Linked DNA regions of Drosophila melanogaster. The protein of the gene in region 3 purifies or fractionates together with the protein of the main gene of each other region. This does not show direct contact. Each region holds a gene or a part of one and is shown on either strand. Other genes may lie near its edges.

Evidence for each region.
Region 1: the proteins of gw (region 3) and PAN3 purify together in Drosophila melanogaster (affinity purification with western blotting, with the first as the bait; 2 studies listed by BioGRID). This does not show direct contact.
Region 2: the proteins of gw (region 3) and Not1 purify together in Drosophila melanogaster (affinity purification with western blotting, with the first as the bait; 2 studies listed by BioGRID). This does not show direct contact.
Region 4: the proteins of gw (region 3) and AGO1 purify together in Drosophila melanogaster (affinity purification with western blotting; 17 studies listed by BioGRID, with this or other methods). This does not show direct contact.

The regions. Positions count from the first base shown.
Region 1 is NT_037436.4:3,068,665-3,074,251, forward strand, and holds the start of PAN3 (Poly(A) specific ribonuclease subunit PAN3), read left to right. Parts: upstream 1-2,468; 5' UTR 2,469-2,643; intron 2,644-3,882; exon of another isoform or gene 3,883-4,096; intron 4,097-4,416; 5' UTR 4,417-4,780; coding exon of another isoform or gene 4,781-4,814; intron 4,815-5,587. Other genes in the region: CG32486 (uncharacterized protein), read right to left, coding at 1,498-1,875. UniProt on the Drosophila melanogaster protein: Regulatory subunit of the poly(A)-nuclease (PAN) deadenylation complex, one of two cytoplasmic mRNA deadenylases involved in general and miRNA-mediated mRNA turnover.
Region 2 is NT_033778.4:9,573,176-9,578,793, forward strand, and holds the start of Not1 (Not1), read right to left. Parts: upstream 3,521-5,618; 5' UTR 3,330-3,520; coding exon 3,003-3,329; intron 2,944-3,002; coding exon 2,413-2,943; intron 2,358-2,412; coding exon 1,895-2,357; intron 1,833-1,894; coding exon 612-1,832; intron 526-611; coding exon 1-525.
Region 3 is NC_004353.4:657,154-662,663, reverse strand, and holds the start of gw (gawky), read left to right. Parts: upstream 1-2,055; 5' UTR 2,056-2,235; intron 2,236-2,680; exon of another isoform or gene 2,681-3,104; intron 3,105-4,155; 5' UTR 4,156-4,326; coding exon 4,327-4,762; intron 4,763-4,979; coding exon 4,980-5,510. Other genes in the region: CG46466 (uncharacterized protein), read left to right, coding at 691-1,509. UniProt on the Drosophila melanogaster protein: Required for gene silencing mediated by micro-RNAs (miRNAs). Silences both polyadenylated and deadenylated mRNAs. Required for miRNA-mediated translational repression and mRNA decay. Not required for miRNA target recognition.
Region 4 is NT_033778.4:13,954,634-13,959,890, forward strand, and holds the start of AGO1 (Argonaute-1), read right to left. Parts: upstream 3,457-5,257; 5' UTR 3,329-3,456; intron 2,718-3,328; 5' UTR 2,540-2,717; intron 1,048-2,539; exon of another isoform or gene 967-1,047; coding exon of another isoform or gene 784-966; exon of another isoform or gene 776-783; coding exon of another isoform or gene 582-775; intron 412-581; coding exon of another isoform or gene 284-411; intron 229-283; exon of another isoform or gene 217-228; 5' UTR 175-216; coding exon 54-174; exon of another isoform or gene 1-53. Other genes in the region: mRpL53 (mitochondrial ribosomal protein L53), read left to right, coding at 284-411, 582-775; CG33155 (uncharacterized protein), read left to right, coding at 784-966; Rpn13 (regulatory particle non-ATPase 13), read right to left, coding at 4,012-4,765, 4,935-5,257.

The DNA.
Region 1 (5,587 bases), on a different chromosome or scaffold from region 3:
CGAACAAAAGATTATTTTTAATATCAAAGTCCCAATTTTTAAACAACCTTTTCATACCCTCGCCAGACTAGTTCCATTACCAATAAATAACACATATTTTGTAATAACCCCAAATTACCTAGCTTATAATATTAATAATAAGAAATTTCATATGACCCGTAAATGCCCCAAACTGGATAATACATTCTTGTGCGACGAGAACTTCTACGTTGATACACCACAGAACAACACATGCCTGGAACACCTTTTGAACGGAGAAAACAGTTCCTGCGATGTACGGGAAACCGGCCCCATCACCGACGTGTTCGAGGCAGAGAGAGGTTACATCTTCGCATTCAACGTGAACAAACTGAAGGTATCCCTAACAAACGGCTCCGAGCTCTCAATAATGGGGTCAGCCATCATCAGATACATTAACGAAACAATACAGATTAACGGTATCGATTACGACGGCACGGTTGACACGTTCCCTGAACAGACGGATTTTGATCTTCCCCCCATGCGAAAAGTAACTAGGAATACCACTATTACGGTACTAAGCCTAGAAAAACTGCACCTCGAAGCCACCCAAACAATGGATAAAATCCTGGCCGTCCATCACAATACTATACAGCACACCTGGACACTCTACACTCTGCTCGGATTGGTAACGTTCCTAGCAGTCATCTTATGGCTGCACCGACGAACGAAACACATCGTCCACATCCACGAGGATCATCACGTACCAATCTACGCGTCATCCATACCTTCGCTATGGCCGTCACTTCGAACTGGGGGGGGAGGAGTTACCACCCCACCCCCTAAACCCCCACGCCTCTAAACAAATCATCGGACACTCAACCGGGAAGACGGCAACTGGAACACCGCATCCGGCCGAATGCTGACATTCCGGCCGAATGCTGACATTACACAAAAGTCGCACTGCAACATTGTCCCCAGCTAGCCAGCCACATGCCGAGTCGGCATGTTCATTATGCTTACAATTAAGAACCTATGTACTTATGTATAAGACGAAAACGGAGGACTCGAGTAGCCACTCTCTGACAATAAACTTCATACTGATTTTGAACTTCAAGAAAGTCAGTCGTATTCTTTATTGGAAATCTTCACACTACAACTATCTGCTGAAACTTAAAAACCTTCATACATTTACACATCATATCTTCACAAAAGGCTCCACCCTCGATCACGGACTTAACTCCCGCCCTCGCTCCCCCTCGCACTCTTTCAATGTTTTCAAGGCGAATAATGCAAGAGCGCCCCAGCTAGACGTCTCGCTCTCGCACAGCTGTGTCTTGCTAGGGTGGAGAGAGGGAGAGAGGTGTTTTACTCTTACAGCTGAGCTGCCACGATTTGTTTGTATACAGAATGAGGCGCACACACACACGCGCACTTGCTGTTTTTCTTCTTTCGCTTTTAAAGCTCTTACTTCCTTTTTTTGATTCTAGTTTACAAGGGCTTATAGTTCAAGCCGCTGTAAATAATCCAAAAACTCACCTGGTACATGGCCGTCTTGGGCAAATCCAGGCAGACGGCACAGCACAGGGCATTGGAGATGCGGTGGGCCAGCTTTTCGTGCATTCCCGAGGCGGCTGCGGCACTGGAAAGCAAGCTGCTGCCGCTGCTGCTGGTGGCACCACCGCCCCCTCCGTCCAACAACTGTTTCTTGGCCGGCGGTTCTCCGCTGCCCTGCGTGTCCAGCGGCACGCCCACCACATTGCCGCCGCCCACCGACGAGGAGGACGACGATGTGGAAGAGGAAGAGGCCGAGGAGGCGGAGCTGGTCGTGGCCACCGCCTGGTTGTCGCCCAGGAGCGGTAGGTTCGAGGACGACGGCGGCTGTTGGACCGCCGAACTGGAGGATTCCACCGACATGATTGGAAATTTTCTTGGAATAATGTTTGTTGTGTTTTTCTTTGCCACTCGCTTCGTACACAAACTCCCACACACACGACCACTAAACTACTACACACACACAAGCAATACCCAGTTTGCTCTCTCTCTCTTTCGCTCGCACACTAAGTATGGCACTTTCTTTCAATTGCCACCTTTCCCCGCTGTCCGTGTCGTGTCGTTCTCTTCTGTGTTCTTCCGTTCTGTTCTGTTTGCAAGCTTTTTGTCCGCCGACACGTCCGCTCGCCAAAAAATTTGTTGTCTTTCTAGAGAGTGTTGTGCGGTGTGACCAAATCTTATATTAGGCAAAATACTAGTATAACGTATCGATGTTATTGGCAAAGCCTATCGATGTTTTTCTATTGTCTGTGTTTCTCCAGCCCTGGTTGATCGTTAGCAGGGACACCATCCCCTTTACAAAGTAATAAAATAACAAATATTATTAAATTAACCATTTCAAAATAAAATAGCATTAAAATAATATAGCAAAATCTGCCTTCATATATATAATTTTACAAGTATATTATTGAAAACGAATCCATTCGTGTTTAATGTGCTGCCCTTATATCCGGCAGTACGGAACTCGTCACTCGCGAGATGCGGTCACACTGCTTGCGGCAAACGGAAAACATGTAAGAAATTAAATATTGTGATTTTGTCTTTAAAATGTACAAAAGTTTGACAAAACACAAACGGCAGGTTCTTTATGAAGTCACCTCTCGCAAAGTGAACTATGACTGGTCAGTGGAGGTACGGAAAACGTGGATTAAAGAGCGAAAAATCGCAGTTTTCTCAGCAGACATTTTTGTATCACTTCGCTGTGCGCTGTGTGTTTGGCATTTTTTGTGTTTGTGTGTGTGTGTGCAACAGCGGCATCAATTTGAAAAATAACAAAAACAAATCGTTGGCGTGTTGAACAAAAAACTATACGTATTTGCTATCTGGCTTGCGTTATAAGAACCATTTGGACAAATTGCGTCTTAAAAATTTGGTGACCAAGATGGCTTCAATTTCATTTTCGGTGGTGAATTAAAAACTTTAATGAAAATAAAAACTTAATGAATTGACTTTTAATTCACGTGCAATTATTATGAAAATTTTTGAAAATTAAAATAAAAATATTTCCAAAAACGTTGTAACAAAACTACACTTATAAATTGGCTTTTGGCTTGCTTAGTGAACTTAGTTAATTATTTCCAGCTGTTCCCACTCAAAAAACAAATCGTATACATATGTGTTCTTATTTCCTTTGCTCCTGCTTTTTCTCTTCCCCTTCTTTTCGTTCCCTTCCCCTTTGCGTCCTCTTCCCCTTTTCCTAGCCAGCTGTTTGTCGCGTTCCACAAATATGGCTGGAGTGTGGATCGCGTTTGGAGCCCAGGCTCCCACATTTCTCTATGTGGAACGCAACCTGTGGCCAGCTGTTGGGTCCTGTTGAACTCCCCCCAGCCAAAAACTTACATATGTATATGTATTTATTTTGTGTATATATGCATGTGTGTATAACAACGCCAATTGCTAGGGTTTCTGCAAAACGTCCTGGCCACTTGAAGGTGAAGTGTTACAATACCATAAAGGGGTTTCGCCATTTTTAAAAGTTATTTTATTACATTATATTCAATAATGGAACTTCAGTAGCGTGTCAAAGGATTTCTCTTTGAAAGAATACGTATTTCATATCCAGCATTTATCAGCTGAAAAACATGAGGGACTTTATACAATCTGTTAAATTTCTTTGCATAAAATGATATATATGTTAATTAAAATTATTAACAATAGCTAAAGTCCATGTAACCCCTTGAGCGCGGATGTTTTCCCAACACTCCTCGAATGGAATCCACATCCACTTTGTTGCACACACAGCTGGCAGTTGTTGTTTTTATCCGACCTCCTGTGCACACACACACACAGACGGACGTACATGTATACAACACTCGGGGGTCGTTTGTGGACTCCATTTGGCTTGGCTGTTGGATCTTCTTTGCGTTTTCTTCATTCGTGCAGCGCCAATCGCGCGGTGTGTGTGTTGCGTTTTTCTTATTTGCAAAATCGTTGGAAAATGGTAATGAAAATGTATACAATATAGCAACAGCAGCTCCTTTCAAGGAAATATCCTCATTAAAGTAATTACGGTACTGAAAGCAATTCAAAAGCTAACAATGAAACAGGCAATTAACTACACAATATGTTGGCTTAGGTTCAGTGTGTATGTATTTTGGATGGTGTTAAATATAAAACTCTAAAAATATGAGTAACCAAGTGCGAAATGAAAAAAAGTGTGGAAAACGTAAGCAAATATGCGCGCAATTGTGTCTGTATATGTGTAGGAAAAAGCGTCCTCGTACACCCACACAGACTCACTTTGGAAAATTTAATGAAATCCAAGCTATACCGCCCTCTCACTCCCACTCACTGTTGCGTTTCGGGATTTCATTTTGTCGCCCCGTTTTGCAAAAACAAACAACTGTTTTTCGCTTACCGTTACTTATTTTAATTCAATGTTCTTCTCTTTCTCGCTTTTTACAGTCGACGCGCCTCAATTGTTAATCATTTGCCCGAAAATGCATTTCAACTGCAAGAAACTTACGTGAAAAAGTGAAAGAAAAAAATATTTTCGAAACGTACAATGTGAAAATGTGTTATTTGAAACTTAGCAGTTAAGCGCGGATTGTATGTATTATTTAAATTTTTGTTTCAATATTTTCTACAAAATTATTAAAAAGAACTACAAAAAAATCGAAAACAAAACGAAAAAACCAAGAAAAAGTTTTTAACTCAGTGCACATTAAAACGAAAACAAACGCAAAAACAAAGCGTAACGAAACGAGAAGGACCACGAAAAGAAAGAGAGCGCACGAGGAATTGGCGAAGGCGGGAGCGAAAGAGAAAAATGTCAACGTTCTTGAACAATTTCTTCCCGGCAGGTAAGCAAAAACAAAGCCAGAAAAGCAAAGGAAATCAAACACAAGCAAAGACAGGGAACGTAAGAGCAGAACCACAGCTGGTGGCAGGAGCGTATTGGAGAGGGGTTGGCGGGGTGAAATGACCCCCCCATCAAACAAGTTGTTCATATACATAGTTATTCTATGATTGTAATAATAAAATTGGTATGTTTATGAGCTTAACTCAGTGATTAATCATAGATCAGCTTTCTTATATTGATCGGTTAGTACGTTATTTTATCTGCCCCTTTTTAAATCCTTCGCACGCCTCTGGCTGGGTGGCATTTAATTGAAAGTCACCTTTGGCATATTTCATAAGCGTTCTCACCGGGGTCATCCTGTAATTCAATTCTGCGCCTCTCTTGTTTTTTCTCTCCACTGGCGGCATGTAAATTGAATTTTCCTACCGAAGCGCATATTGTGATTATTGGCAATTACATGGACGTGACCGAGGAACAAAGGAGGCGAAGGAGATAAGTAGGCAGAGAATGCGAGAGTGAGAGAGAGAGGGATAGGGACGGGATGGAGTAGCGGCCTAGAACAGAGAATCTTGGCATAATCAATCTGCCCCAAAACAATCTATACACTTCCCTTTAATTACGTACATTCCTCGCTGCAATACCATCGATTATCGTTTTGTTATTCCTGGAAACGCTCAGATTCCCATTTACTGCTCCTTGCAACCCCTCTGGGATCAGGAACAAGTTCCACACACTCTGCATTCTCCTCATGCATTTTCTTTGTCCTGCGAAAGA
Region 2 (5,618 bases), on a different chromosome or scaffold from region 3:
ATCCATCGGGCTTGCGGAGGGCATCCAAGACACAGCGCAGAGAAAGGCCCAGTGCAACAAAAGTGGGCACCAGGTTACGATCAATAATGCCACCAAATAGCTGCGCAGTAATCTGTAGCTCTTTCTCTGGGTATTGACAGAAAAAGCGATATTCCTCGAACAGATTGCGCAGCATGCACAAAAAGACTTCCTGCTCGCGCCGGTTACTTGACTCTTTAAATCTTTGCAAAATGTCCAGCACTTCATCGATGGACAGCGTTGGATTCGGCTGGTGGTTGTAGATGCGCTGAAAGTATGAGTTGACCTCGTCTTCAACTTCCTTTGACACAGGTATCTGGAGATCGGCCATCACAGGGTTGTTTGGATTGGGGGCCGTTGGAGTCGGCGTTGGAGTCTGCTGTTGTGGACCCCCTGGCAGCATGCGGCCTAGGTTTCCTACGTTGGGTGGTGGCGGAGCCTGCGGCATCTGCATGAGGTTCAGCGGATAGGGATTGGCTCCCGGAGTCATCAGACGCGATGGAGAAGCTGAAATTGCACGTAGAATTTCGTTAGATAGGATTAAGAGGCATCTGTGATAGATTATGCACTCATTGCCTATGAATGCCACTTACTTAGCATGTTTCCAAAATTAAATGCTCCGTTCGGGCCGCTGAGGTTGAGGCCGGCTAAGTTGTTGGACATATTCGTTAGCGGATCCATTCCTGGTCCAAACATCTGCGCGTTGAGGTTTCCGGAGAACGGTTGCTGCGGTGGCGGAGGGACTATGCCTCCAGGCAGATCCATACCACGATGGCCGCGCAGAATTGTTGGTGGAGGCGGCGGAACCAATCCTGGCTGCTGCTGCTGTTGGGCACGCGCCTTGTTAGCCATAATCGCCACGTTCGCGGTCATTTGCATGATGACTTCGACCATCTCCGGCTGCATGCAGTTATTGATGCACGTTTGCAGACAGTTGATCATGGTGGTAACTGTCTCGGGCAAAAGCTGCGCCTGCTTGGGAGGCAGCTGATCCTCTGGCACTTTTGCGTTGATAACCTGCGGGCAGCGGCGGTGCAGAACCTTGATTATAGCCTGCATAAAAGGCTCTCCATGTTCGCGAATTTTATCGGTAAGCCACTTTTCCAGCTTCAGGTACTCGCGCCGAGAGGCAAGGCAAGCCAGGTCGATAATGAATAAAAATGAACGGGCGTTGAGCAGCGCTGATAGCGCTTTTAAATCCTGGGCAAGATCCAGGATGCGCGACAGTTTCACCTGATCGAACTCATTGCCTCGGAGATACCACTCGGACATAGCATTCATGATATTGGAACGAAGTTGGAAGTTGTTCGAGCTCCAGGCGCTGGCCAAGATCACGTTCGAGTTGGGATGGTTGCCAAGGAACGTTGGTATCAGTTGGTTAAACAGATCCTGACGCAGTGGCGTCATAGGCGGACTTGTGTTCAATAAGGCCAAAAATAGCACATCGGGACAGTTCTGCGCTGGGAACTTGAATAGCTCATGGACCTGCGTATAGTATCCCTTGTCCGCAATGGAGAGCAGCACCTCCACCAGGTGAAGCGACTTCCAGGACGAGATCTCCTTATTGTCCGCATCCGGAGCCGTCTTAAGCACATCCAACGCTGGCTGGCTAAATACAAAGTCGGCGAAGGAAAAGAGATCCGGGTTCTTCAGCATTGTCGCGATAAGCGACAGCTGACCTTCCGTGTTTGCCCAGTGACGGTAAATGCATTCTGGATGTGGAAATATGTTAGAGCCAGTGGCCAGCCGAAGGATGGTGAGCAAAAGCTCCAAACCGATGCGATCCTTCAGCACGAACTCGGGATGATCAAGTTCTAAAAATTAAGAATGATATTCCTATAGATTGGCGATTGCGAAGCAATTATCTAGCTATTACCCATGCACACGTCCTTCCAGTTGAGCTGAGGCACCACCTCCTTGAGCGCCTGCACAAAGACATCTGGCTTCCAAGTTTGCGTGGCCTCCGTCGTCTCCTTCTTGTCCTTCTTATCACTGGACGAATTGCCATCGCTGCCATCGTTGTTGTTACTGCTGCCCGGGTTCTGTTGCTGCGGAGTGATTTGTGTCTGCGAAGAGCCACTGCTGTTGCTGCCACCGCCCTGTCCCTGACCAGGCCAGAAGTTCGCCGGCGTCGGTAGATTCACATTACAATCGAGCAGGGAGGAGTGCCGTCGGCACATAAGACCCACGATCTTGGCGACATCTTTGGACTGGAGCTCAGCGCGTTCTCGCTCGCGGGAACACAAATGATTCTTACACTCTTCAACGCTCGATGTAAATTCATAACCGATTTCAAGGATTAGATTAATCCAAGATGTGTCCATAATATTATTTTTGCCCTGCAACACAACATTCAATTAGCGAATTGTCTTTTTCAATGAGTGTCTTACGCACCTGGTTGGTGAATATTATCTCGCTTAAATGGTCATAAATATCCTCGATTCCCACCTCGTTCAAAGCATCTGCTTCGAAACTGGAGCTGTTGCTATTAGTCGTCGCTTCGGCCTCCGCATCCGTTTCGCTGGCACCTGCTCCCGCAATCGTCGCCGTCGTCGAGCCGTAAAGGAACGGCGCTAGAACCAGCGGTACCGCCTGGCGCGGAAACTCCTCACGAAGCTTGATCAAAAACTGTGCTTCCACCTGCGGTTGTACGTACTCGCTAAGGCAGCACAACAAATACTGCAGTAGATCGAAGGAGATCTCCCGGAGACCGCTGTCGGCTGGGCCGGTGCCTTTATTACCCAAGTAAGAGTCTATAAGTTCGCTGAGGCTACCTTTTAGGTTGTTCCTGGCAGAATGTTTGAGTTCTGTGTACGAGGAGTGGGTCAAGGCCAAGGCAAAGACGCACTCACAAACCTTGTTGATGCCGGTCAGTCGGGCGACCTGGCCAACGAGATCCGCTACCGCAACAGGCTTCAGGGACTGCTTAGGAATGAGTATCCATAAGTAATCAACACATTGTGGGCATTGTAAACTCAACTTACCTTCTGGTTGCTGGCGAAGAACTGGTCAAAAGCGTAGCAGATGTTGGACACAAACGATGAACTGTGAAGCTGACGCTCCAACTGGATGCCCAGGAGCTTCGCCTGCAGCTGGACCGTAACTGATGGCACGAGATCGCTGAAGTTGATCACGGAGAACAGGTGGCGCAGGCTGCTGCGATCCGCTTCCAGGCCGTGCTCTTTAACGAACTGCAAGATGTCGTAAATGCTATCAGTAATGTATGGTTTAGAATCAAAGAGCTGCATTGCGTAGGGTTTGGAAGCCAATATAAGTGCCTTGACAGCGACTGCCCGCAATCTGGGACACATATCACTGTATAAGGGACAGTGTATGTTTCAAACGATTCCTCAGATTCTGCGGTGACCGGGATTTTTTTTTATGTGATTTTCATCGCAAACTTGGAAATTTTGACAGGTTCTATTATGTTCTGTGAGTGTCTCAACTTTTCTCTGTACAATTGGATATGTGTTTACGGATACAGGGCAAGATGTAAAGTAACATTTTGGAGGGATTATTTCTAACTCCAGGCAACTGTTTTCAAAAGTAAATCCATTAAGTCATTATTTCTTGCCCGCTTAAAAACTTTACCCAATTGGCTTTTTAAAAGCGCAACCAGAGGGTTAAAACATGAATTTTATCATTGGGAATTCCAGTTTAGGTGCACCATTGTTGGGCTCACAGGTTTCTGAGATTATCTTGAATGCTATAACTAAATGGAAGACTATATCTCAAATTGGGCTATCGTTAAGTTAGTTAATGTATTTTCTATCCGATAATTTCTCCATGGAATCCAACAAATTCCTAGACCTTTCTTACTATAAATTCCGTTGGGTTATCCTAGTACTTCATTCCAACATTGAATATCAGTGAAAATTTGGTAATCCTACTGAGTTCGAATAACTTGAAAACTTATCAGGCTTTTTAAATGGCAGATATAGATTGTTGAGAATTTCAAAATACTGAAGTATATGACTCTGTTTTGTTATCATTTTTTTTTATCATTTTTTTTAATTTTTGAGGAATATGCCATTTACTGTCAAGAAAACGGGATCTGTAGCATAGTTTGTCCCACAAACGATTACTTTTTAGGGGATTGTTGGGCAAATGGTGCCATTCTAAGCCAAGTATTTGTTATGATACTAATTTGAATGGCAAAACTTTTCTAGGAGGCTAGATATCCCCCTCCCTCCCTACGGATCCAAAACTGTTGAAATATTTGATCCGGAGCTCGGAGTCCGGAATCAAGGCCTCACTCCGAACGGGGGAGCGAGACAACAGCTTTGGCCCCGCCGTCGCAGCTGCTCCACAACAAATTACACACGCGCCCTCTCGCTCGCACACGTTGGCGAAACGTTACATGGGTAAGGAGAGAAGAGAGCATGACGGTGCGCGAAAGGAAGGGGGTCACAGGAAAAAGTGCGACATATTGCAACTCTAGCGAAAAGAAAGCGGCCGCAATTGATATTCCCACGCAATTTGTCCCACGAACTTACTATTCAATTTGGTTTCTCTCGTTTGGCAATGAAAAAACAGAAGTTTCGGGGCCGAAAAGCCCTGCGCTTGGCTTGGGCTTCCCAATTCGAATTTCGCAATTCGATTTCGCACTACTACGCTGCAAAATTCACACTGCCATCAACTCACGAAACACGTTTGTGGCTAAGCGCACACAATTGGCCTGGTTTTACACATTCTATAAAACTTTTAGCTTAAACAAAACGCTCACAAAACGCGCAACGCCGTGCAGAGAAATTTTTTCAGCTGCCTTTACCAAAAAACTGTAATGGCGTCGGCAAAAATGCACGAGCGAGTGAAATGGCAATAGCCCATTCGTGAGTGCGAACAATTGGCAACTCTGGTTGGCCAGGTGCGATATGTTGTCGGTTTGGCAACACTAAACCCCCGCCCCCTACAAAATGTTGTTGTTATTGTTGACAAAATGAATTGGAAATGGTTCATGGAAACTTTGGTAGAATAACTTGGGCACCTACCTGATTTATTTGCTCGCTGCTCTCATTAAAATTTCGCTTGTTCACGTGCTTGACCAGATTTCGAATGTGCGTTGGCGGTGTCTTCAGTTGGCTCTCTACGTTCATAATTCTACGTATCAGTTGTCAATTCCTCAGCGGATGTTTCTTGTTGCTGTTGTTTTTGTTGGAGGCCACCAGAATTTTTTGTTCAGCACACACGTTTAGCGTGCACTGGTATTGGAGATTAGAGATATTTGACGTATTCGCTGTTGCTTCTTGGCGCTTTTCATTTCACCTACGGCGCAATTTGTTTTTGTCTCTGCCTTCCTTGGTTTTTTTTTGTTCTTTTTTGGGTCTGTAGATTCATTGGCCGCGGCCCCCGTATAAAAGGGGCCATCAGCAGCTCTACATTGCAGGCGGCATCTATTTACGCGTAAATCAAATAAACATTAAACTCGGTTTAATGGTTTCATGAGAAAAATCCGATTGGCTATGTCCTCGGCCCAGTGTGTACAATATTGCAATAGCTCACGTAATGAAACAATATGAATCAATCCGCACGTACAGCGAAAACAGAAATGAAAAAATACTACTACTACCACACACACGCACGCACACACGGGCAATTGA
Region 3 (5,510 bases):
ATCGTATATGTATTAGATTCGCTGCAATGTATGTAATTGGTAGAAGAAACCGTCTCCGATCATAGAAAGTATATGTATGTAATAGGAACGCATCGATCCCATTTTATACTCACATGTTTCCAAATGTTTACACGCTTGTTCTAACGACCACGAACCGCCCAAAAACTGCCAAAAACAATTTTAACCAAATACCTACAAATCGTTCAAAACTGTAACGCCCATATCAATTTAAACACACATAAACCCTATGTAGTATATACATACATATGTATGTGTCTAGATTAGAAAGAAACACCCATCCGAGTTGATACTTCCGTCTGCCCCTATGAATGTTGTAATGTCGGGAAGCACTCCTCTGGCTACCAAAAATTAGTAATGTAAATAAAGGAGAGGTGGGCTAATTTGATTCTAAGGTTATATATTTCTTTTTTATTGCATTTGTTTTCGGTTTGGACATCATATAGTGTCCAAATCCCGAAGTTCATTAACTAGTCTCGGAAACCTTTTTGTTCACCTGTTATGTTCTTTTTTAATTTTTAATAACCCCCTTACTTTACGAGTGAAGAGTATAAAAGAATTATAAATACTTTTTCAAGAATTCAGGTTAATATAATTATTCGATTTTATGATAGAATCTAACGTTCCGCTAACCATTTAATACAGCAAACCATATTTATTTTCAGATCAAAAATGACAACACACGATGAGGCTCAGTCATACTTCTCACGTCTTAATTCAATTTCCGAAAAAATTACCTGCGATCTCAATAAAGTTAAATCTACATACAACCAAGACGCTTGGCTTAAATTGACTTTAAACGAACAGGAAAAAATATTGAATAACCAATTAATAGATCCTGTTATATTTTCTAAGTACTGTCATAAGACTAAAGAAAACTATGCGGCACAGGATCCGTACGAAAATACTGAAGTTAGTAAAAATGATTACCGTAAATTTTGTTTCAGAGACATTGTATATTTATATAACGGCCAAGATTTACACACATATAATTATCAAAACGTTGGTTTAAAAATATTACGCGATGAAAACACCGGAGATTTTCAAGATGAACATTCGTTTCCATTTTCTTATCGAACCAAATCACAAATTAACATAGTATTAAAAGAATTTGATGATATCTGTCTTGTTGAAACTCCATTAGGCGTAAAAAAGGCCATTCATTTAAAATTGAAGACAAAAGATTCAACCAATAAAAAAATACCAATTCTCCACCTTAATTCTAATGATAAAACCGGCGTTAACACAACGGAAAGAAAGATTTCCATTCATGAAAACTTCTCAAAAACCCAAACTGTTTATATTGATGAATGTATTGAATCTAATGAGAAAATGCAACTGCTCGTTAAATGTGGATCGAAAAACAGTGTGTTAAACGACTTGTCTGATTATGAAAACGAATTTAAAGATGCACGTCAAGACGAAAATACAAAACTGTTATCCCCTGAACTAAAAATGCCTAAGGGTTTCGATTTTCTTAGCAATTGGTAAAACCTATTTAAATCTCATAGATAGTCGAAGGAGAGCCGATATTTTAGAACATAATTTCATTTGATTTCAAGGCAAAACACCAAAACATACACATTAATATTAATCGGTCGTAAGTCCAAACTTTATACATTACATTATTAAGGATTCTTTTTTAACATAGACTTAATAAAATAAGTTATGAATTTAATGGATTGCCCAAACCTGTTTCAATTCTCACTTCAATAAGGCATTCAAGCTTTAAAATTTATTAATGCATATGTTATCTCACTGTATTGTTTTAATCCCTTAAATTTCATTTGAATTGTTAGAAATGGTCGAGAGTTATATGAGTTGGAACTTGTTTGAAACAGCTCTGTTTTGAATTAATTTAAATTATATCAGCTAATTTATTTTAATCAATTAATCCTTCTGTTGTGTACCCTCTATCTGACCTCTTCGATGTGAACGGGTCACAGCACTTATTTTAGGCAGTTGTGTAAACTGGGTATTACCTAAGATTGATTAATATCGATTAGTTTAAGAAAATATCGGACATCTACCTAGAAGAGTCTGTCGTGATCCAGGCGAAGTGCGAGTGAGAGCATCGTATAGTTACTTTTTATTTAAATTGCGTGTGTTAAAATGAATTAGCACGAGTAGTGAATGTTTTTGTGTGCGTAATCTTTCGAAAACAAGCGCTTTGTCATTAAAACGAAAAGATTGCCAACAGCCCACCACGGATAGAATGTACGGAGTAATGCAGCTAAATTGAAGTAGAATAATTTTAATGTATGGTTGAAGACGTACTCAGTACGATTAAAAGCGAAACTTTCTGACATAACCTAAGTGTGCATAACCTAAATGGTCGCAAAAACCCAAGCGTTTAGTTTCGGACATACGCATGTGTGTATCAGTGCAGAATAAATTCTGTTCGCTTGTGTATCGTGCATTGGAAAAGTCTATATGTACATATGTTCCAGTCAAGAGTTGCCACGCTTTAAATCTTTTACATAATGACAAAGCAATAGGGAATTTAAATGTGTCGCATTTGCTTTGAGGTTTTCCACACCAACAGTTAAAATTTAGTAATAGTGTAATTAAAAATAAAGTAAGCATTTTGCATATTTGCATTAGTCTATACTCCACATACCTTTCCATTCCGTCTTTAAATTTTGACTAGGTGGCAATATTGCAAGCAGGAATATCTGTATGGGTTTATTTAATACACTAGTAACTGCCGTCCCCATCGTCGAACGTGCGCAGAAATTTATATTCAATTACATCGAATTATAATTATTGTTGAGTCTAATCAGTTTTCGCATTCAAGATTGTTATTAATCCCAGTTTATTTTGTGAAATATGAAAAACTATAATTGATTGTCGAATGTGTGTATGTTTTACAACACATACACACTTTGTGAACTCGTCAAAGTGGCTTGACATGCATACACACAAAAATGCACATATATTTACATATATAGAGAAAATCAACTTCTCGTTCAGTAAAGGCAAAAATTGTTGCAAATATTCGGTGAACTATTAGCGTATACACAAGTGTTCAATTTTACTATAAACGCATATTCTGGCAATAGATATTAATTTCTAATTTCTGTTTGGTAGGTTTTAGTTAGATCTCCATTTTGTGACGTTCTCAGCTTTTCGCTTGTATTTCTACACATAGGGTACAAGACACGCGAATATACTAAGTATTGTACAATGACTTCTCTACATATGCACTAGAGTACTGAAAATGTATTCATACAAATGTATATACATGTATATATCTATCGCATTAGTCTTTTTGCCAATACTTGCATATATACAGGTTGTGTAAATACATTTTAAATTCTAAGTTTATTTGAGCATAATTGCAAGTGCGAAATTAGGAAAGGGAGACATAAAATAGGGTGCTTCCGTCAATGTCTGCCTGCCCAGAGTTGACAAATTCATTTTACTTGTGTACATATGCATATGTATATTTATATACCATTACAGAGTTGTGAATTTAATTGTTTTATTTTTTGACATGCATTCGTTTTTCACACAGGAATTTGTCGTTAATGTGGGTGGGGATTCTGCCGGTTGGGCAGCAGACCTGGTAGGTCAGCGATCGCGATGCATATTTCATTTTTAAAATTCTTTATGTACATACTAAGTATACATGTTTAACTCCTGTCAAATGACTCCCACTCTTATATACCCATATGTATGTCCTCAGACTTTTTGAATCGATTATAAAGCTTAAATTTTTATGATTTCTCCTTCAGAATTTTAACTGATGTTATGCAGTTAAAAATCTGTAAAGAAGATATTGATTAAGCCTACGAAAAGCTGATCAGAATTAAAAAATTTTTTAAGAACAACGAACAATAGAAAAACTAAAAACAAACGTGCACAACGTAGGGGTCACTAGAATCTGCATGCTTATTCTCAACTGTCTAGCTTTTATGTCGAAAACGCTTCCGCTATGTAACATACTTTAGAACAAATCTGGTATACCATATACCATTTTACTCTATTAATAATGTGTATAAAGCATAAACGTATCACGGTGATTAAGTTTATTTATCCTGTGTATATACAAGAAAATAAAAAAAGAACTTAGCAATTTGATTTAGAATGAATATTTTGTAATAAAAATAATAAATGTTTTCTATATTTCTACAGAACACGGAAAGAACAAGGATTCAGATTAAGTCATTCCTTTTCGATTAAATTAAATAACTTTTAAAAATTGCCATAAATGCTTATGATAATGAAGTTAAAGATCAAGTGGATGTTGGAATAGTAAGGAATGCTACTTTTGAAGCTGACAATCAGTTAGAACACTTGAGCACTATGCGTGAAGCCCTTTTTTCCCAAGATGGCTGGGGCTGTCAGCATGTTAACCAGGATACTAATTGGGAAGTTCCCAGTTCGCCAGAACCAGCCAATAAGGATGCACCCGGTCCACCAATGTGGAAGCCAAGCATTAACAATGGTACTGATCTTTGGGAGTCCAATTTGAGAAACGGAGGTCAGCCGGCCGCACAGCAAGTTCCAAAGCCGTCGTGGGGTCATACACCATCCTCTAACTTAGGTGGAACATGGGGTGAGGACGACGATGGCGCCGATAGTAGTAGTGTGTGGACTGGAGGAGCTGTTAGCAACGCGGGATCCGGAGCTGCAGTGGGAGTAAACCAAGCCGGAGTTAATGTCGGTCCAGGCGGTGTTGTTTCGTCTGGCGGACCTCAGTGGGGACAAGGTGTCGTTGGCGTCGGACTTGGATCAACTGGTAGGCCTAATATCTATTAGAATTAATGAAGTTAAGCGCAAACGATCAGATAAAGGCTCTAGCTTTTCCCTCAAAATGTGACTAACAATACATGATAAAAACATAAAGTGTAGTAATTGAAGTTGGAGCCTTATCTGGGGAATTACCTATTCTAAGTTCTACAGAAACTTTTATTTCATTAACCCGAAATACTTTTATATTTCTGCTGTTATTTAAGGAGGTAACGGGTCAAGCAATATAACTGGATCGTCTGGAGTCGCAACAGGTAGTAGCGGAAACTCCAGCAACGCTGGTAACGGTTGGGGAGACCCTCGTGAAATACGCCCTTTGGGAGTTGGTGGCTCCATGGATATTCGAAATGTTGAACATCGCGGCGGTAACGGTTCTGGAGCAACTTCGAGCGATCCACGAGACATTCGCATGATCGATCCGCGTGACCCTATTCGAGGAGATCCCCGTGGAATATCTGGTCGTCTTAATGGGACCTCTGAAATGTGGGGTCATCATCCACAAATGTCCCATAACCAGTTGCAAGGTATCAACAAAATGGTTGGTCAAAGTGTAGCAACTGCCAGCACCAGTGTCGGAACATCTGGCTCGGGCATCGGTCCTGGAGGTCCCGGTCCTAGTACAGTATCAGGCAATATCCCAACACAGTGGGGGCCTGCTCAACCGGTAAGCGTTGGTGTAAGTGGTCCCAAAGACATGTCAAAACAGATAAGTGGATGGGAGGAACCATCACCACCGC
Region 4 (5,257 bases), on a different chromosome or scaffold from region 3:
GGGCTAAAAAGGTGATGGGGTTGGGGAATGAAATAAATGCGTGCCACACTCACCGTAGACTTTCCCAATGATGCCCACGGTGGAGGTCATCTGGAGATCCGGAAAAGTCAGCGGCAGCGTGTGCGGATGGAGCTGAGCTGGCCCACCGGGAGCCAGCTCACGCTCCGTGGACATTTTAGTCGGTGTCGGCGTCAGTTTGAGGCGGCGTCGCTGCTCCTGAAAAATCAAGTAAATCGTGATGATAAATCAATAATCTAGATATCTATTTCAATTCTAATTTCAGGGAATTCCTCTTCCTGCTCTCCACACCCAAAGTGGCAGCTACGAATCCCAAGTGCGTGGTCAAGCCAGAAATCGTCTGCGATCGCCAGCCGGCCAACATCAAGTTTGCCCTGATTGATTCAGCGCAAGGTAAGAATACCTAAACTGGGACAGCTGAAATATCTAACTAAAAGGAACCAAAATACATATGAAATATGTATTGAAAAATTGGTTTCCTTTTAGCGTGGGCAACTAAGTTAACCCTTTTGAAACTGCAACATTCAAAGAGCAAACACTTATTGATATTATATCATTCACAGAACAAGCCCAAGTCAAGGAGATCCGCTTCAACAGCGATAACCTAAACACACTAGAGCTGCTGCAGCTGTGCAACAAGCACGTGTCCAGCTTGGCACCGCGCGAGGAGATCACCAACAAGGTCCTGACCAAGGCGGAGAAACAGAAACTAGCAGGAGGCGCCGGCGGCGGAAAGAAGGCAACCAAGAAGAAGTAACCATCAGGATGGTGAGGAAGCACAAAGGAACACTGGCGGTGATCGAGAAGATCTACCAGGATATACCCGCATTCTCCGACATCTTCACCGAGGAGAGCTTCTACATGTTCGCCTTCTGTTTCGTGTGCGCCACCATTCTGGTGGCCTTCATTCTCTCCCGGTTCATCACCATCAAGCCCGTCGATTTCTAAGCCAATTGTATTGTTCAATTCCGCACACGTACTTTTCAAAATATATATACGCTCTAACATGTAACAAACACTCCGCACTGTATTGTCTTTTTGGCCCGACTGTGCAAAAGGGCAGCGCTCGATTCGATTCGGTCAGCCTGTCGTTTGTTTCATTTTTTTTTCGCCATTCGAAACCAGTTTTTCGGTCCCTGGCAAACCGGAAAATCATCTGCTCCTGCTGCTGCTGCAGCGGCTGCTGTTTGCTGCGCTTGCTGATGTCAGCGGATCGGAGAGCCGCCTGCCGTCCCAAAGCTTATAATCACAATGGGGCGGGAGGAGCCAATGGTAATTGGACCGCAGGAAGTCGACCAAATGGGCCATGCAAAGTGGACGGTGGACGTGGCTGGGGTGGACCACTACAGACTTGTTCATGAATTGTGGCATTAATTTGTTACTGCTCCAAGTGAATGATCATCTGCATTCTTGTAATGACAACAAGGATGCAACAGGCAGTGGAGAAAGCTTCTCTGTTGCCAAGACAGCTGTTGAGATGAATTGAAGTCTTATTCTAATGGGGGAGCAAGGAAGAAAGTGCACTGTGCAGTTCAAGCTTTGAGCTAAAGTTTTGAAATGGCGCGCTCTAAATGTGTGAATATGTACGTATTTGCGACGAAATCGATGGCTGCAACTGGCAACAATCTGTTGGAGTGTGGCAGCTGCAAAAATGGTTGGTGAAAGTTGCCCCAAAAAGCTGCGGCACCCTGTGATTAATAGAATTCTGTTCAGAGTGCCCCCAAGTTCAATGTCAGGCTGCAAGCTTTCTCCCCGCCTGTTCGCCAGCCGTTTTGAAGGAGTCACGTCGTAAAAACTTTCACCACCCACTTTTAAATTTTGAAGTTGCGAACGAGGTATTATAGCTTCGATCATAAGATTGCAAATTGGAGCTTGCGCATTAATAACATAGCAAATTTAAGTTTTTGAAACCGATAAGTTTTTTATACTTATAAAACCTTTTTTTAATATGTCGCTAGAAACGTTAAAAAGCTTTGTTTAATTATAGCATAAGTCCTTACAAATTGGTTTTAAATTACTGGTTTTTGTTATAAGTTAGTAACTCATATAAATTTTAACTCCCCAATGTTTTGATAAGATTTTAATCGGTTTAGGATTGGATCATATAATCCTATCGCAATAACTGTATAAAAGGGTATTATTAGTTTGTTAAAAGTTCAAGAGCATGTAAACCTGTCGACACGAACTTCTTCGTCGATTCGTGACGTAATTCGCGAGGGACGTGGATGGCGGGGATATTAACGAACGAAAGTTCTATTGGAAGCTAAGGATGTGACCTTTCTACCAAAACATAAACACTGTCTGTACGGTCGTCCCTCTCGCACCCCCGCGCTCACACGCTTGGCGCTCTTGAAAATTTCCCAAAGCATATGCTCAGGCGCCATTAGTGTTTTGGTTTCCTGTATTTTTGTTTTTTTTTTTTTTTTATTTTGGGGCACTTCCATTTTACTTGCAGCTCCTGCAGCTGTTCTGGAAGCCTCCATTTGCCGGCAAATTGAAAGATTCATAATTTTGTACTTACCTTATCGCAAAATTGCAGCTGACTTTGGTGTGTGTGTGCGCTTTTATCAGCTTTATCAGCGGCAAATCAATCGTTTTTTTTGGTGAATTCCGTTTAATGGAGGGGAACTCATTAAGGAGTTGAGTGGGGTTTGCGTCTCGACTGGATTTAAACCGTTGCGGACGTTACTTTTCCAGCGCTAATTGGAAGAAACGAGAAAGATAAGTGCAGGAAATGGAAATGGAATTGGTTAAAACGCAGTTTGTGCGGCTGCTGTTGTTGTTAGTGTTGCCAGATCGTTGCGCCGGAGATATGCATGAAATTGCGAGTCCGGGGAGCTTTTTGTTTACTTTGCTATTTGACAACACACACTCTTAAGCAGCTCCTATTTTATTTAGTTTTATTTTTTGCAAGCTTCCAGGCCTGTTTAACAGCGCGCGTGTGTGTGCGTGTGAGTCAAAGGTTGTCGGTGTGCGTTAGGCACTCGACTCTCTCTCTCTCTGTCTCACTGCCCTCTCTCTTCGCGCTTTCTGTGTTTGCTTTGATTTTTGTTTTTGCCGCGGCTTTTAACTTTTTTATGACAACTACTTTGGAGGGAAAAGCTTTCCCCACAGCTCCGCGAAGCAGTCATGCAAAAAAAAAACATACAGGCTGCCACTAGACACACACACCTTCTCACGTCCGCCAAAAGCACCAACACACAAACACACACAGGCACAGAGATTGCTGCAAAATGAAAGCACCAACAACAACAGATACAAAAACATCCAGCCCGCAACGCAAAAATTGGCGAAAAAATATGGCAATTACTGCAGATCTGGATATATCCGGGTTTGATTCGCCTGGCGGAGATCGCTTGAGATCGTTATGTATGAGAATTGAGAGTCAGCTTCGGAAAATTGCGAACGCGCGAGTTTTGCACAAACACAACTTATTTGCTGGCCGTTTTGGAATTGAATAAAATAAATATTGTTGCGTGTGCCTGTGTGTGTATATATCTGTGTGAGACGGCTCTCGCTGAGAGAGCGCGCAATTCGCGCCAGAAAGGGACGACCAGTGTGTTGCGATGAGAGAGCGGGGCAGCGAGCTTTTGTTAGGGGGACACCAACAAAATGACCTTGTCGGGATTAATATTACCGTTACTTCCATATATCCCCCCATTATTAACTTCAAAATTTAAAATAAATTGTACACGTTAGACTTTGTTTTTTTAAATTAAATTAGGTAAGCCAAAAACCCAAGTATAATGAGTATAATGATGCATTCTGAAAAGAGCTGGACGAGTACTTACCAAAACGCGTATCCTTTTATTAAAGTAGTAATATTTTAAATATAAATTAATAAGCCGTTTTGATGTATATCAAACACACAATTAGATAGATAACTACCGATTAACTCCCATTTGAATTTATTTAGCATCCAAAAATCACTCAGCACATGAAAAAATTTGCTTTCGGATTCCATATCAATGACTACCAAGCCGCACACGTAAGCTACTTTTGCTTCTCCTCCTGTTTTTCGGTAGCGGGATCTGTGTTCTCATCGCGGGCCACTGAAGTTGGGGTTTCGGGATCGCTGGCCTTCTTCTCGCTGGCGGAGGGTTTGCCACCCATGGTGGCACCGGGGGGCAGACTCTTCTCCAGAGCACGCACAAAATCCTCTAGATTGCCAGAGAAGGCGGCGGCCACTGCTTCGTTGGACAACTCGAATTGCTTGATCACAGGTCCCAGCTGGGCCGATTGCAGGGCACTGGAGAACTGGGCCAGAGCCTGCTGGAACTGCGGGGAGGTGATATTGTCCTTGATCTGCTGCTTGCGATCATCGTCCACATCCTCCGACTCGGGCAGGTGCACGATCAGCGTCTTGACATGCTCCGGATCGGCAATTATCTGATTGATGGCATCGGCGCCGGGTAGGGCCGTCGATAGGTCAATATTCAGGGATCGTCCTGCGCCATGTTCGGGGGAGAGATTGGATAAGTAGGCTTGGAATGGATTGGCATAGGCTCCGGTCGATTTTGACGCCGTTGTGGTCGATGTGGTTGAGTTCTTACCGGGGGCATCCGCATCAACGGAGGAGCCGGCACCTTCGCCGACCTGCGAGTTCACATTGCTGCTGCTGCGGCTGCTGCCCGATTTCGATGGAGCGCTCGGAGTGCGCGGCACACTGACGTTTTCGGGCGTCTGCAAGGCCGATGCCCCACCGCCACCCGATGAGGAGGTGTTGCGCGACGAGGGCGTCCGGGAGCTGCGGAGAATATAGAAAGGAAAATATTGAAAAAGGGGGTGAACTCAAGTTCTGGCTTCATTCCTTCGATTACATGCTTATAAACAATAAAAACGATACCCTGTAAGTTAAGAAGCTATCTACTTGACTAGTTCTTGGACACTATGGCTGCAAGGGTTTAAATGCTCACTTCATTTGGCCCAGCAGCGAGCTGAGACCACCCATCTGGCCAACGCCGCCGAAGAGCTGCATCAGCTGCTGCTGCGACATGTTGTTGAGCATGTACTGGAGGTCGCCGTCGTTGCTGCCGCCGCCGCCGCGCTGGTGGGCGGATGGAGGGTTGTTCAGCAGCTCGTTGATGCGGCGGCACTGCTCGTCGTCCTTGTCCGTCTTGGGCTCCTGCATCCAGAAGAACATGCGGCGTGTCGATGACTTGAACTTAAGCACATAGACACGGCCCGTCTTGCACTGATCGACGCGCTTGTACTCGAAGTCATCGGGGAAGACGATGAG